3 linked regions of the Drosophila melanogaster genome follow. The protein of the gene in region 3 binds, or shares a complex with, the protein of the main gene of each other region. Each region holds a gene or a part of one and is shown on either strand. Other genes may lie near its edges. The genes, in order: Nup160, Nup58 and Nup205.

Region 1 (3,753 bases), on a different chromosome or scaffold from region 3:
TCGACCAGGATGAAATATATAGCTGCAGTAAGTTTCGCGTGGATCCACTCCCTGCTCCATGGTGAGACAATACCGATCCGGTGGCGGTTCTAGAGCAGCCGAAACCCATTTGATTGCGTTGTTGGAGGCAAAATATGCTGCCGAGACATGGAAATCGCCTTCAGCGTTGCTCCAAAGGGCCCAGATGTGCGAGGATGTGGCATCGAAGTCGACCAAATCCGTTTGCGGCGCCGGCACCATGTTCTGCACCAAATTGATAACGCTGGCATCGTCGGCATCGGGCATTATGCTAACGCATATAAACTCAGCTCGGGAATTGTGCGAGAGAAATAGACAGAAGTTTTGATCGCTTATTTTTCGGAGCTGGCTGTTTTGTGCTGTTAAAAAAAAGAATATAATCCCATTATATCTAGATCATAAATCTAAATCGTAATAATATTTTATACTCACGTCCTTGAGCTGCTGAGTCCTGTCCCAGTTCGGTGGAGCAGTTAATGCTGGCTACAGTCTGCAAGTTATCCACTGACCATAGACGCAGCTCATTATTGCGATACAGAACCAGAATGAAAATTTCCCCCCCGATTTCACTGAAAGCCATGGACGTGGCTGCCTCCAACGTTTCAGAGCGGCCGCTACAATGATTAATGAAACATTAGGGATTTGCCATTTATCGAGGTTTATCCACTTACGTGAGGGCACCCTTGAGATTCGACAGAAACCATGGCATTAGCTTCGGCTCCTTGATTTCGTGGGTGATAGTATGGCCGGTGGAGCATTTCATAACGTGAAGCAGTAGTTTGCTCTGATACGCCACCGCAAAGTAGGCTGACTGGGAGTCTTGAGTGAGGTACGATACAGCCGCGTTGGGCATAGTTCCAAAGCCATCCGTGACATAGTAAGTGCTGGGATCATTGATCTTGTCATTGACGTCGTAGAAAATGGACTGGGATAGCAGATCCTCTGGAGAAGCTGCGCCACCTTCCTGCCCAGCGACCTTCAAGGGAAACACATAGCGATGCACACTGCTGACCGTGACCACCAGCAGGGTGACGGATGTACCTTGCTCCGTGAGTGATACATTCAGCACAGCGGAGTCGGTGAATCGCAGACGCAGGTGATTCCTCTGCAGGGAGATGTCCAAACTAACCTCTGATAGTTCCAGGACATCCTGGTATGTCCGCCTGCAAATCAGTGGCCATGTGAAACTAATTTAACGATTCTGATTTGCACTTACCAATATATGAAACGGTTTCTGGTCTGAACATTTTTCGTATTCTTGTAGCAATAGCCGCCGGAGGTTTCGAAGGTTTTTAAATCCTGCAAAGTGCTCTGGGTTCCTACATTTTGCGGAGGAGCATTTGGTTACTCAGAATTTCTCTGGCAATCTTGCACGAAACTCACCCGTGTTAATTTTCACCTCGATCCACTCCGCCGGACTGAGGTTCCGCGGTATGACCTCGCGGTAGCTCATGTTGGCTTGCAGTTTGGATGTGGGCATCTTGCTAGCACAACAAATTAATATAAAAACCTCAACGAAAACGGAAAATTATTGGCGGCACCGGCGTAAACACGCTCAGTAGTAGTGTTGGAAAACGCTTACGCCAGCGGTGCACACCAGGCAAAATAGTCGACATAGCTTTTTATACTCACATACAAAAGTTAATTACAGAAGTTAGTTAAAAATTGTACATTTTCCTAAATGTAATTTCATGACAATAAAGTTTATTATAGCAAAGCAGGAATGATATAAGATGCCTTTAAATCTTGTGATATTAAGAAAGTTGTCGCTAGCATTTTAACAATTGCCACATATTGGTCACACTGCATTGCACGTGTGTTTCCATTTGTTGATGCGGCTTTATTATTTAGTTTATTTTTTAAAATAAAAACTGTCTCTGGCCTAAAAATGAGTGAACAGCAGGATGAGACTGTAGTCTGCCTGCCCGGGGAGCGACTCTGCAGAACCGAGGACAGCATAGTCCTGGGCATAGGCACCTACGAGCAGAATGGCTACATTTACGCCTCCAAGTCTGGAATTGTCAACATCGAAGATTCGGGTGATAAAGTAAGTAATCCTGGCATTTCGTTGACTCTGGGAACCAATTAATCTCCATTTCAGTGCCAGGTGGTTAGTGTGCATAAGCCCGGATTTCATCTAACCATCCCAGCCACCGGAGACGTGGTCACAGCCAGAGTTCTCGTCACAACTCCAAAATTCGCCAAGTGCGCCATTTTCTGCGTACGAAATGTGCTGCTGGAAAGCAGCTACCGCGGACTTCTGCGCAAGGAGGATGTCCGGGAGACCGAAAAAGATCGCGTCGATATCTACAAGTCCTTCCGGCCGGGCGATGTCATCCTGGCGAGGGTCATTAACCAACTGGAGCAGTCCTTCCTCCTGACCACCGCCGAAAATGAACTCGGCGTGGTCATCGCCTATGCCAGTGATTACCGGAAGACCCGGGTGCCCATGGTGCCGGTCGGCTGGAGCGAGATGCAGTGCCCCCAGACCACGATCAAGGAGCCACGGAAAGTGGCTAAAGTTCTGCCTGAGAGTTCAATAAATGCTGTGAAATAAGGTCAATCGCATGTTAATCAGAAGCTTAAATTCATTTGTGGAACTAAAAATGTTTTAGTAAGTGATTATTAGCCAAATAATTATATGTCTTGGCAACCAGAGGACGCTGAATATGGATACAGGTTTATGTTAGCATTTTATTTCCATAGCAACGTTGATAAGTAGCTATTTGACAGTTTACATTATTTCAAATCATTAAATAAATCTATAATTAAGTTGTAAAAGTTCAAAACAAGCTGGTTTCCATAGTTTAGCTTTTATGATTGATACGTATCTTATATTTGTTATTTATTCATGATTGGTTTGTTATAATGATTCAACAAGAGATTAGAATTTAATATTGGATCGTCATGCAATTGCTGTTTTTAAAAGTATCTCTATAGATTCGAAAGTCATGGGAATAGATTAAAGAAATTGTGCGGTAATTTGTTCTAGCAACTTAACAAAACATATTTTATGTTTAAAATAATTCATAAACACAAGGTAATCTAAATATATGCAGGCACATGCACTTTATAGGTTGGCAACATAAAAACTTTTAGGGTAAACGACAGGTACTTATTCCAAGTAATCCGAATTTCAATAACATGCAATTGCACGTGTTCCCAAAAAAAAAAATATATAATCATAAAGGCAAATAGATGGTTGTAAAGGCTCAGGCGTCAGAGGCGTAAAAACCCGTAGCCCGTTGCCAATCAATGTCGCTGGGAGCTGTTGTTGATGGATGACTATTCCTATGCAAATAGCAAATGGAAGTTCGTTTCGCGTGCAGGAGCCGCGACTAATTCAATCAGAGGAGCGGGAGCAGGCAGCCTGGAGCAATGAGCTGCTCCGGGACTAGGCCACCGTGTCTTGTCTTGCCGAAGAAATGCAAATGCATAGGAAAAGTTACAGGTGGATCGGTGGGCAGGGAGCTTAGCGAGTCCTGGGGGATCCAAACAACCAATCATTGTTTGGTCGATGGGAAACGCAGTCGGTTTGTTTCGGTGGTTCGAAGCCCGGTTAATATTCAAATTAAATCGAGGGGGAATACGACCAATATGCGCTGCAAGTGAACAGCCGACGGGTAGTTGGCCCTGTCGTAGTTGTCGTCGTAGAGTCCCCAGTTCCGGCCAGCTCAAAAACATAAGTTCCTTCCTATTGTCAGTCGCAGACCAGCAGCAGAAGAACCACGGCCA
Region 2 (3,753 bases), on a different chromosome or scaffold from region 3:
AGAAAGTGAGGAAAACAATTGAAACACATGACTTTTCGGATAAAACAACAACGTGTATTGGGCAGAACACAAAACAATGATAATACAATCCCGCGCGAGTGGGAGGCAAACTAATATGCTCGCTTTTTTCTACATGGAACAACAACGAATTTTCACTTTAATGTATGGAATAATAATACAGCAGTGTTTCCAGTTAGATTAACCACTATTATTACGGGTCTAAATTATGGATTAGAGTTGAACGTGGACATTGAATTTACAGCGCACAGTTTGGGGGGCCACCTCTTTACTTGTGGTTGTAGTTTTTGTGCACCTCGGGCGAGATGTTGTACACGTACTGCAGGATCTCCAGGATGAACGGGTCCTTGCGGGTCTGGATGGCCCGGTCCATGTCGGCCAGCTTAACGCGGATATCCGCATCGATCTTGGCCGCCACGCCCTCGCGACTGCCCATGTGCTGTAATCGGGGTTCACACGGTATTACATGTACATAAGTTTCCCTATGTGGCGTCTTACCTTGGCCTCGAACTCCTTGAAGGCGCGCTCGCGCTCCTGGCGGAACTTCTCGATCTCCTCGGTAGCCTCGTCCTTGGCTTGCTTCAACCTCCTTGCCTTGCCTGCGGGATTACCCAGAAATCCAGATGATCATATCAGTTCAACTTGGCAAATCAGCCCTCCGCAAGATGACCTTCCATAACTTAAAGTGCCAACTCGCACAAAAACTATTTACTGCACTTAAGTTGCAGTCTTAGTGGCCACAAACAATTTTAATTTAATTTAATTTAATTTAATTTAGTTTAATTTGATTTATATCTCGAGTTATGGAGGATTGACTTGTATTTACTTTTTTCCACCACATCATGTGACCCACACACAACGGTGATGGTGGTTATGGTAGCACGGGGGCGGGGTGGTGAAAAAATCGCAGTTACTTGTCGCCCTGCCATTTCCAATTGGATTTTTGTTTCTGAAAATGAAACTTACGTTTACGAGCCTCGGCGACCTTCTCGGCTGCCTTTTTCTCGGCAGCGAGCAACTGCTGGATTCCCTGCGTCTGGCTGGCCATAATTTCCAAACTTCTCTAATTCCTCGCCGTGGTGTATACTGTGCAAGTCGAAAAAAGCAAGTGCGACAGAATCACAATCGACGACGAACTGTGAAAAATGTCATATGACGAAGTCACACACACGCAAACTCACCACGGTGGCTAGTTGGTGTGGGTAAGCAGTGTGCCGGAAAGCTGGGTGCTGCGAAACTCTTGGAGATGGCTCGGTCGATTGCATATCGATTAGCTTAGTTGTATATTATTGTTTGGTATTGTATTGGCCAGAAGTATTAAATAATTTGACGTTTTTGTAAGCATTAACTTTCTCATTTATTCCCATCATGAATATTTTTCTTTTATAATTTTGTAAACTTTAATTCATTTTAATTTAAATGCAGCGTTTAATCTGCTTCGCACTGTAATAGTTCCGGCTGTATTTAAAGCTATTGTAAGAAATTAGTTCGTAAAAAATTCTTTATATTATTTTAAAATTGAAATACATAAAGATTAAATTTTGAAATAATTTATTCATATTAATATCTGAAGGCTATCGTTTGATATTAAATAACAACCATGTTGTAGTGGACCGAACTCACCACACCTCAGACCAAAATTAAATATTTGAAAATCACAAATCGTAACTATATGAAGCTGCAAATACTTTATATATCTTTAGCCATAGTGTATTTATTTCAATCAATTTGAATACTTTGTTGATATTTTTCCGAATAAATCTCTGCTGACTAGCTATCGATATCACCGATAGTGTCATCTCTGTCCTAGAAGTTAAACCACAGATGCTCAGGCATTAAACAAAATTAATTTCGAAATTTGTTGCAGTAAATATAGTTTAATTGTTTAAAATTCCTGTATAAATCCTTAAGAGGGGTGCCTAAAGATGTTTACGCCCACCACGAACAACGCCATTGGAGGCGCCACTGCTGCTACCGGCGCTTTTGCTTTTGGCGCGCGACCGGCGACGACGACTGCTCCGCCTCCATCCTTTGGAGCAGCCACCTCTACGCCAACCTTCGGTGCTGCTCCGGCCACCACCTCCTTGTTTGCAGCTCCCGCGGCCACACCGGCCTTTGGGGCACCAGCTGCTACGCCGGCTTTTGGAGCACCTGCGTCCACGCCTGGTTTTGGCGCCACTTCCACTGCGGCGCCGGCTTTTGGAACGGCTGCTGCCACGCCCGCTTTTGGCATACCAGCAGCAACGTCGGCTTTTGGAGCTCCAGCTGCTACGCCCGCTTTTGGAGCTGCAGCTGCCACTCCCGCTTTCGGAGCACCCGCCGCCACGCCCGCTTTTGGAGCACCCGCCGCTACATCCGCCTTTGGAGCACCAGCAGCCACAACGGCGTTTGGAGCGCCAGCTTCCACGCAAGCATCGGCCTTCGGAGCACCTGCACCAGCCGTGGGCACTGTGGCTCCCACTTTCTCCTTTGCCACCCCGGCCACAAGTGCGCCGACCACCGCGCCGCCGGCCTTTGGATTCGGCACCACCGCCACAACGGCGGCAGCTGCGATGCCAGCATCCCTCAGCTCCGGAATTGGATCGTTTTCCTTCCCCAAGCCACAGGCCACCACGGCGGCCAGCTTGAACTTTAACACAACCACGACGACGGCGACGGCACAACCCTTCAACACGGGTCTGAAACTGGGAACCACCAATGCGACGACAACCCTAGGAGGAGGAGGAATCTTTAGCAAGCCAGCGGGTCAGGCAGCTGCCCCGGCAGCATCGACTTTCGTGGGTCTGGGGGGGATCGATGTGACCGCCACGCAACCAAAGCTGGGGGACAATAAGCAAGATGGCATCAAGGTGCTGACCATGAGTCTTTCACAGAGAAACAAAATAATCATTTTATTTTCGACCACTCCAGATTAAGGAAACCCAAGTGCCCGACGAGATAATAAAAACGGTGGATGGCCTAAAAGCGTATATCAAACAGCAGAAGACCATCTCCTCTGACATTGGACGGACATCCACCTCCAAATTCACGAATGTCAGCCACGAGATCACGAACTTGAAATGGGCGCTGCAGAATATGGCCACTTTAGTTGAGGGCAGCAATCAGCAGATCCGCCTGATGCGCCAAGAGACCGTCAAGGCGATTCAATCTCTGGAGATGGCCCAACGCACGCAGGACACCCCAGCCGGCCTGCAGTTCGAGAACAATGCTCCGTTCCAGTACTTTCAGTGCCTGGTGGCGAAGTACGAGCAGGATTTGATCGCCTTTCGCCAGCAGATCGCTCTGACCGAGCGCCACATGCACGCGATCTCGAATCCGCAGAGTATTTCGCCGGATGATCTAAAGCGTGGCTTTCGCCAACTTAATGAGAGTTTCATCTCGCTGGCGGGACGCCTCCACGAGGTGCATCAGCGGGTGGAGGAGCACAAGGAGCACTACCTAAACCTCAGACGCTACCGCCTGCGAGACACCACCAACGTTTTCGAGCGGATTGACAATCCTCCGCTGCCGACGGTGGAACCTCAACGGATTAGTAGCGGTCCAACGCCCTTCTCCAACATCTCGGCTCTGATGAACAAGTCCTATGCAGCGGCGGCCAGTTCCGCCAGCAATGCGACAGGCAATTGAGAATGGCACTCTTTACAAGTTTCAATAAATCGTTATGTCGAAAGGGGCCTAGACTTTCACTTTCAGTTATAGCATAGAATATATATTTCACACGCAACAATCTTTATT
Region 3 (3,753 bases):
GCTGGTCCAAAGATTAATCATTCCGCTCTCTGCGTTTGCTTTTATTAATTCTCCTTTGACCCATCGAATGGGGGGAGTGGTAAAGTTTTAAGTTTCTATATTATCAAACTATAGGAAACTATATCCATGATACTAGTTGGGCAGTCTCAACTTTGGAGTACCGAATTTGAAGTCTTTTGATCACCTAGCACTGCATAACTAGGTTATTTTCATAGCCAAGGAGTAAAGTATACTGAATACACTCGAAAAAAAAAACACTAATAGAGAATTATAGTTAATACAATTACCAACCATATGTGAGTCTACCATTTGCACCGTTCTTACTATAATTTGAAGAAGCTGTACTTTAAAGGTATAGTTCAGTTTCTTCCTGTGTACTCTGTCCTATGACTTCTTTTTTTTTTGTGTGTGGGAGCGAATTATGAAGTACAGAGGAAATGGTCGAGCAACACAAACGCACACACACATTTGGAGAAACTTGGGAGATACTTACATTTGTTATTGTTGCTGCTTCCTCGAGGCTGTGCTGTTGTTGTTGCCGCTGCTGCTGGTGGTGTTGTTGTTGTAGCTGTTGCTGGAGTAAGTGCAGTTGTTGCTGTTGTAGTTGTTGTTGCTGATGTGCCGCAATACCACCACAATCCATAGTAATTACGGGTGCGAGGGGGCGGGGTTAAGTGTGTGTGGGAGTGGAGTGGAGTCGTCAATTGGGAGCGCACTCTCTATCTCTCTCTCTCTCTCTCCAAATCTCGCTCTCTGTATTGCTGCTCCTTCGCGCGATCGCTTACTGCAGCGGAATGAAAAGCGAAACAGACATAATTGAAGAAATGCGATAGCTCTCCGTCTTGAATTTCAACGATTCGCCGTAAGGGAGCGCTGTTAACCGCTATTTCAGTCACTGTTTGTGTCTTGTTCCTTTTTTTTATTTTTTTTTATTTTCAGCTAACTCTGCAGTTTGCCTTTGTCCATATTTTCGGTGGAAAAACCACTTCCTTGCTCTCTCGCTCTGGCTCCCTTGCTCTTCTATACCGCTCTCTCTCTCGCTCGCCAGGCGTTGCGTGGGCGAACGTAGGGGAGAGAGCAAGCGAAACGAAAAGAGAGAGGCGAACGCAGTTTGGAGTTTTATGCACTGGAGTTGTGAGTATGTTCGTGTGTGCCTGTGTGACTGCTACCCCCACACACTTGCACTGCCTCTCTTCCTCTCTGTCGCTCTCGCACACCCAGTACCAAGTACTCTGAACTCCAACTCCAGTTACAAATTCAATTCCAATTCGAATAATTCCCAATGAAATTTGAATTTTCCTTCCAATTGCACTGGCTTTGGCAGTTAGTATCCCTTTTGGCATTTATTGCAGCCGAACTGCGCCGATTGCATTTGCATTTACACTTCTACATCCACTTCCACATCCACTTGCATCGACAGCCAGAACCAGCATCCCACTATGGTGCAGTTCAGCCTGCCCGCGGCCATCGGTGATTCACTCACAATGCGAACAGGACACCACTTGGGCAGTGCGTTCGCTGGCCAAATCAAGTGGCGGAGAACAGAAAAAAAAAAAAACGCGAATCGGAACAAAACAAATGGATGCTACTATCGGGTAACTACGAAAAGTCCGTGCGTAGATTTTCACGAAAACGCCCCGCCCGCGCCGCACTGAAGTTGTGTTAGTTAGTGGTGCGACAACGCACCGATGCAGCGCCTCGATTATCGTTCGATAAGCATCGATTTTCCGATTGACTTGGTTCGAATCAACCGTTTAGCCAGCGCAGCAACCGCAGTTAGCGGGCACAAGCACCGAAGCGCGTACGAGCGTGGTGAGTTCGTACGGTGGTGAACATCTGTGTTTTCCAGTATTTGCAGCACCCAGCCCTGGTAACCGGCGCCTTGTCGCAAAGCGAAGCAATCTTGCCGCGTTTTATAGTCAATAACTGCGAATCAGCAAGAACTGCGTGAACTGAGCGAACCGCAAAACCAAGTGAAATGGATGGTGAGTGCCTGGCCAACGAGCAGATGTGCGTGGGTCGCCAAATCACTAATGCCACCCATGCGTCCACAGCTGTAATCGAGGACATGTGGACGCCGTACAAGCATTTGTACAACACTTTTCAGACCGCGGTGTCCAATCGCAGTGGCTTCACCTCGGATCTGGAGCAGTGCCTCAAGAAGTACAAGCACAACTTCAGCAACTTGCTGCGCAATCCGGTGGGTATAGCAAAACAAGCGCTTGCAGATCCGTAGATTTAACTAATTATTGATAATCCATTATTGAAAATGTCGGCAGCCGAGAAGCGAGAAGAGCCGCAATCTCCTACGAAATGCCCTCAACGAAGGCGTCCCGATGCAGGGGCATTCGCGAAAGACAAAGATGTCACAGGACCTGGCCGACGAGGCGGTCATTCTGTCCGACATGTTCGATCTGGACGAGGGTTTCGCCGTGGAGCTGCTGTGCACCGCACAGCGCCAGCAGAAGCATCATCCCGGCCTGTCCAGAGGCCTTGTCGCGGTGCTGCTCTACTACGATGGACGAAAGGCCATCAGCTGCACGCTTCGCGACATGTTCCAGGTGGTTAGCGGCGTCTCGTGGAACACCGAACTGCCCAAGGAGGTAAGTTTCGAGATTTCGACATCGCAGGCATCGCAGTGCCGCTGAAAGAGAGATTCACTGACCCTGATTATCGTTCTACGCACGCAGATCACCGGTCTGGTCACTAACTATGCCGAGAGCCTTGTCGACGGCTCTGGGATACTGGGACGCCTGCTGCAGCTGCTCGAGGAGATGGATGTCGACAAGGAGGTGGGTTTGTATGCGCCTGTTTCTGAAATTCTCTGAAATTGCATATCTTCCTTCGCAAATTGTTATTCATTTGTTGTCCAACGTTCGCAGTGCGCTATGCTGACCACAAACCGCGCGTTTGGCTCCAAGAAGCATCAGAACCAGGTGCTCGGCCTATACGAGGACATTCAACAGGCATTGGCAATGGCCCTGTTCAATTGGTCGGCACAACGCGGCCTGCCGCGACACATTGCCATTCGGCTGATGCACCAATTGGCCAACCGAAAGAACCACGACGCGGGCGGCAACATGGACGACGTGACCCTGATCATGCTGATGGCTCTGCTGTATGCGTACGATACCTCCATGCTGCTGGTCACCGAGGAACCCAATGAGCACACAACCCGACTTCCGATCTTCAGCGATCGCGAGTTCGCCGAGTGCTTCCTGGAGGAGCTGTACGCGCAGAGCAGCTGGCAAGCACCGCGCCTGAATGCCATCATTGCCTACAGCTTCGGACTAACGCTGGCCAGCCTGCGGCATGCACCTTTGCAGCTTCAGGCCACCGCCATCTCGATCATCAATCGCGATGAGATGCTCATCGACGAGGCACTGGGAGCGCAGGTATTCGTCTTCTTCCACAGCTTGCTGCTCGAGAAGGATCTGGTCTATAGGTGAGTACTGACAACTGAAGTGTCAATTGCCGATTCGCAAGCTAATCATCATTTGTGCTGACAGCACGCAGTTCTTCTACCGCCGCGTCCATCTGCTCATCACGGACTTCATCGACTTCATGAACTCCAAGGTGTCGGAGCTGCGCGGCCGAGCAGACGAGTCGTCACACACGATCATCAGCTTCCTAAACGAGGGTCTGGAACCGCCGCCCAACTTGGACTCCAACTTTGAGCTGCTCATGCTGTGCGTGGCCAAGATGCACGGCGATCCGCGCGTCACCATCAGGCTGTGCAACGAGTACTGGGGC

What was found.
Region 1: Nup205 (region 3) and Nup160 share a complex: the UniProt entries of both Drosophila melanogaster proteins name them as parts of the nuclear pore complex.
Region 2: Nup205 (region 3) and Nup58 share a complex: the UniProt entries of both Drosophila melanogaster proteins name them as parts of the nuclear pore complex.

What each region holds. Positions count from the first base shown.
Region 1 is NT_033779.5:11,121,624-11,125,376, reverse strand, and holds the start of Nup160 (nucleoporin 160kD), read right to left. Parts: upstream 1,601-3,753; 5' UTR 1,499-1,600; coding exon 1,402-1,498; intron 1,338-1,401; coding exon 1,235-1,337; intron 1,182-1,234; coding exon 690-1,181; intron 633-689; coding exon 451-632; intron 378-450; coding exon 1-377. Other genes in the region: Csl4, read left to right, coding at 1,907-2,065, 2,120-2,575. UniProt on the Drosophila melanogaster protein: Functions as a component of the nuclear pore complex (NPC). Involved in poly(A)+ RNA transport. Required for nuclear import of Mad. May play a role in double strand break DNA repair. Essential for nephrocyte development.
Region 2 is NT_033777.3:19,643,222-19,646,974, forward strand, and holds Nup58 (nucleoporin 58kD), read left to right. Parts: upstream 1-1,804; 5' UTR 1,805-1,943; coding exon 1,944-2,867; intron 2,868-2,928; coding exon 2,929-3,645; 3' UTR 3,646-3,685; downstream 3,686-3,753. Other genes in the region: Vha13 (vacuolar H[+] ATPase 13kD subunit), read right to left, coding at 287-457, 517-617, 985-1,066; CG6195 (uncharacterized protein), read right to left, coding at 3,749-3,753. UniProt on the Drosophila melanogaster protein: Component of the nuclear pore complex, a complex required for the trafficking across the nuclear membrane. Together with Nup54, required for transposable element silencing regulation in ovarian follicle cells.
Region 3 is NC_004354.4:19,850,370-19,854,122, forward strand, and holds the start of Nup205 (nucleoporin 205kD), read left to right. Parts: upstream 1-1,844; 5' UTR 1,845-1,978; coding exon 1,979-2,200; intron 2,201-2,279; coding exon 2,280-2,603; intron 2,604-2,690; coding exon 2,691-2,792; intron 2,793-2,882; coding exon 2,883-3,445; intron 3,446-3,509; coding exon 3,510-3,753. Other genes in the region: pico, read right to left, coding at 494-643. UniProt on the Drosophila melanogaster protein: Plays a role in the nuclear pore complex (NPC) assembly and maintenance, but with limited role in NPC permeability. Required for specific nuclear import pathways such as Mad import.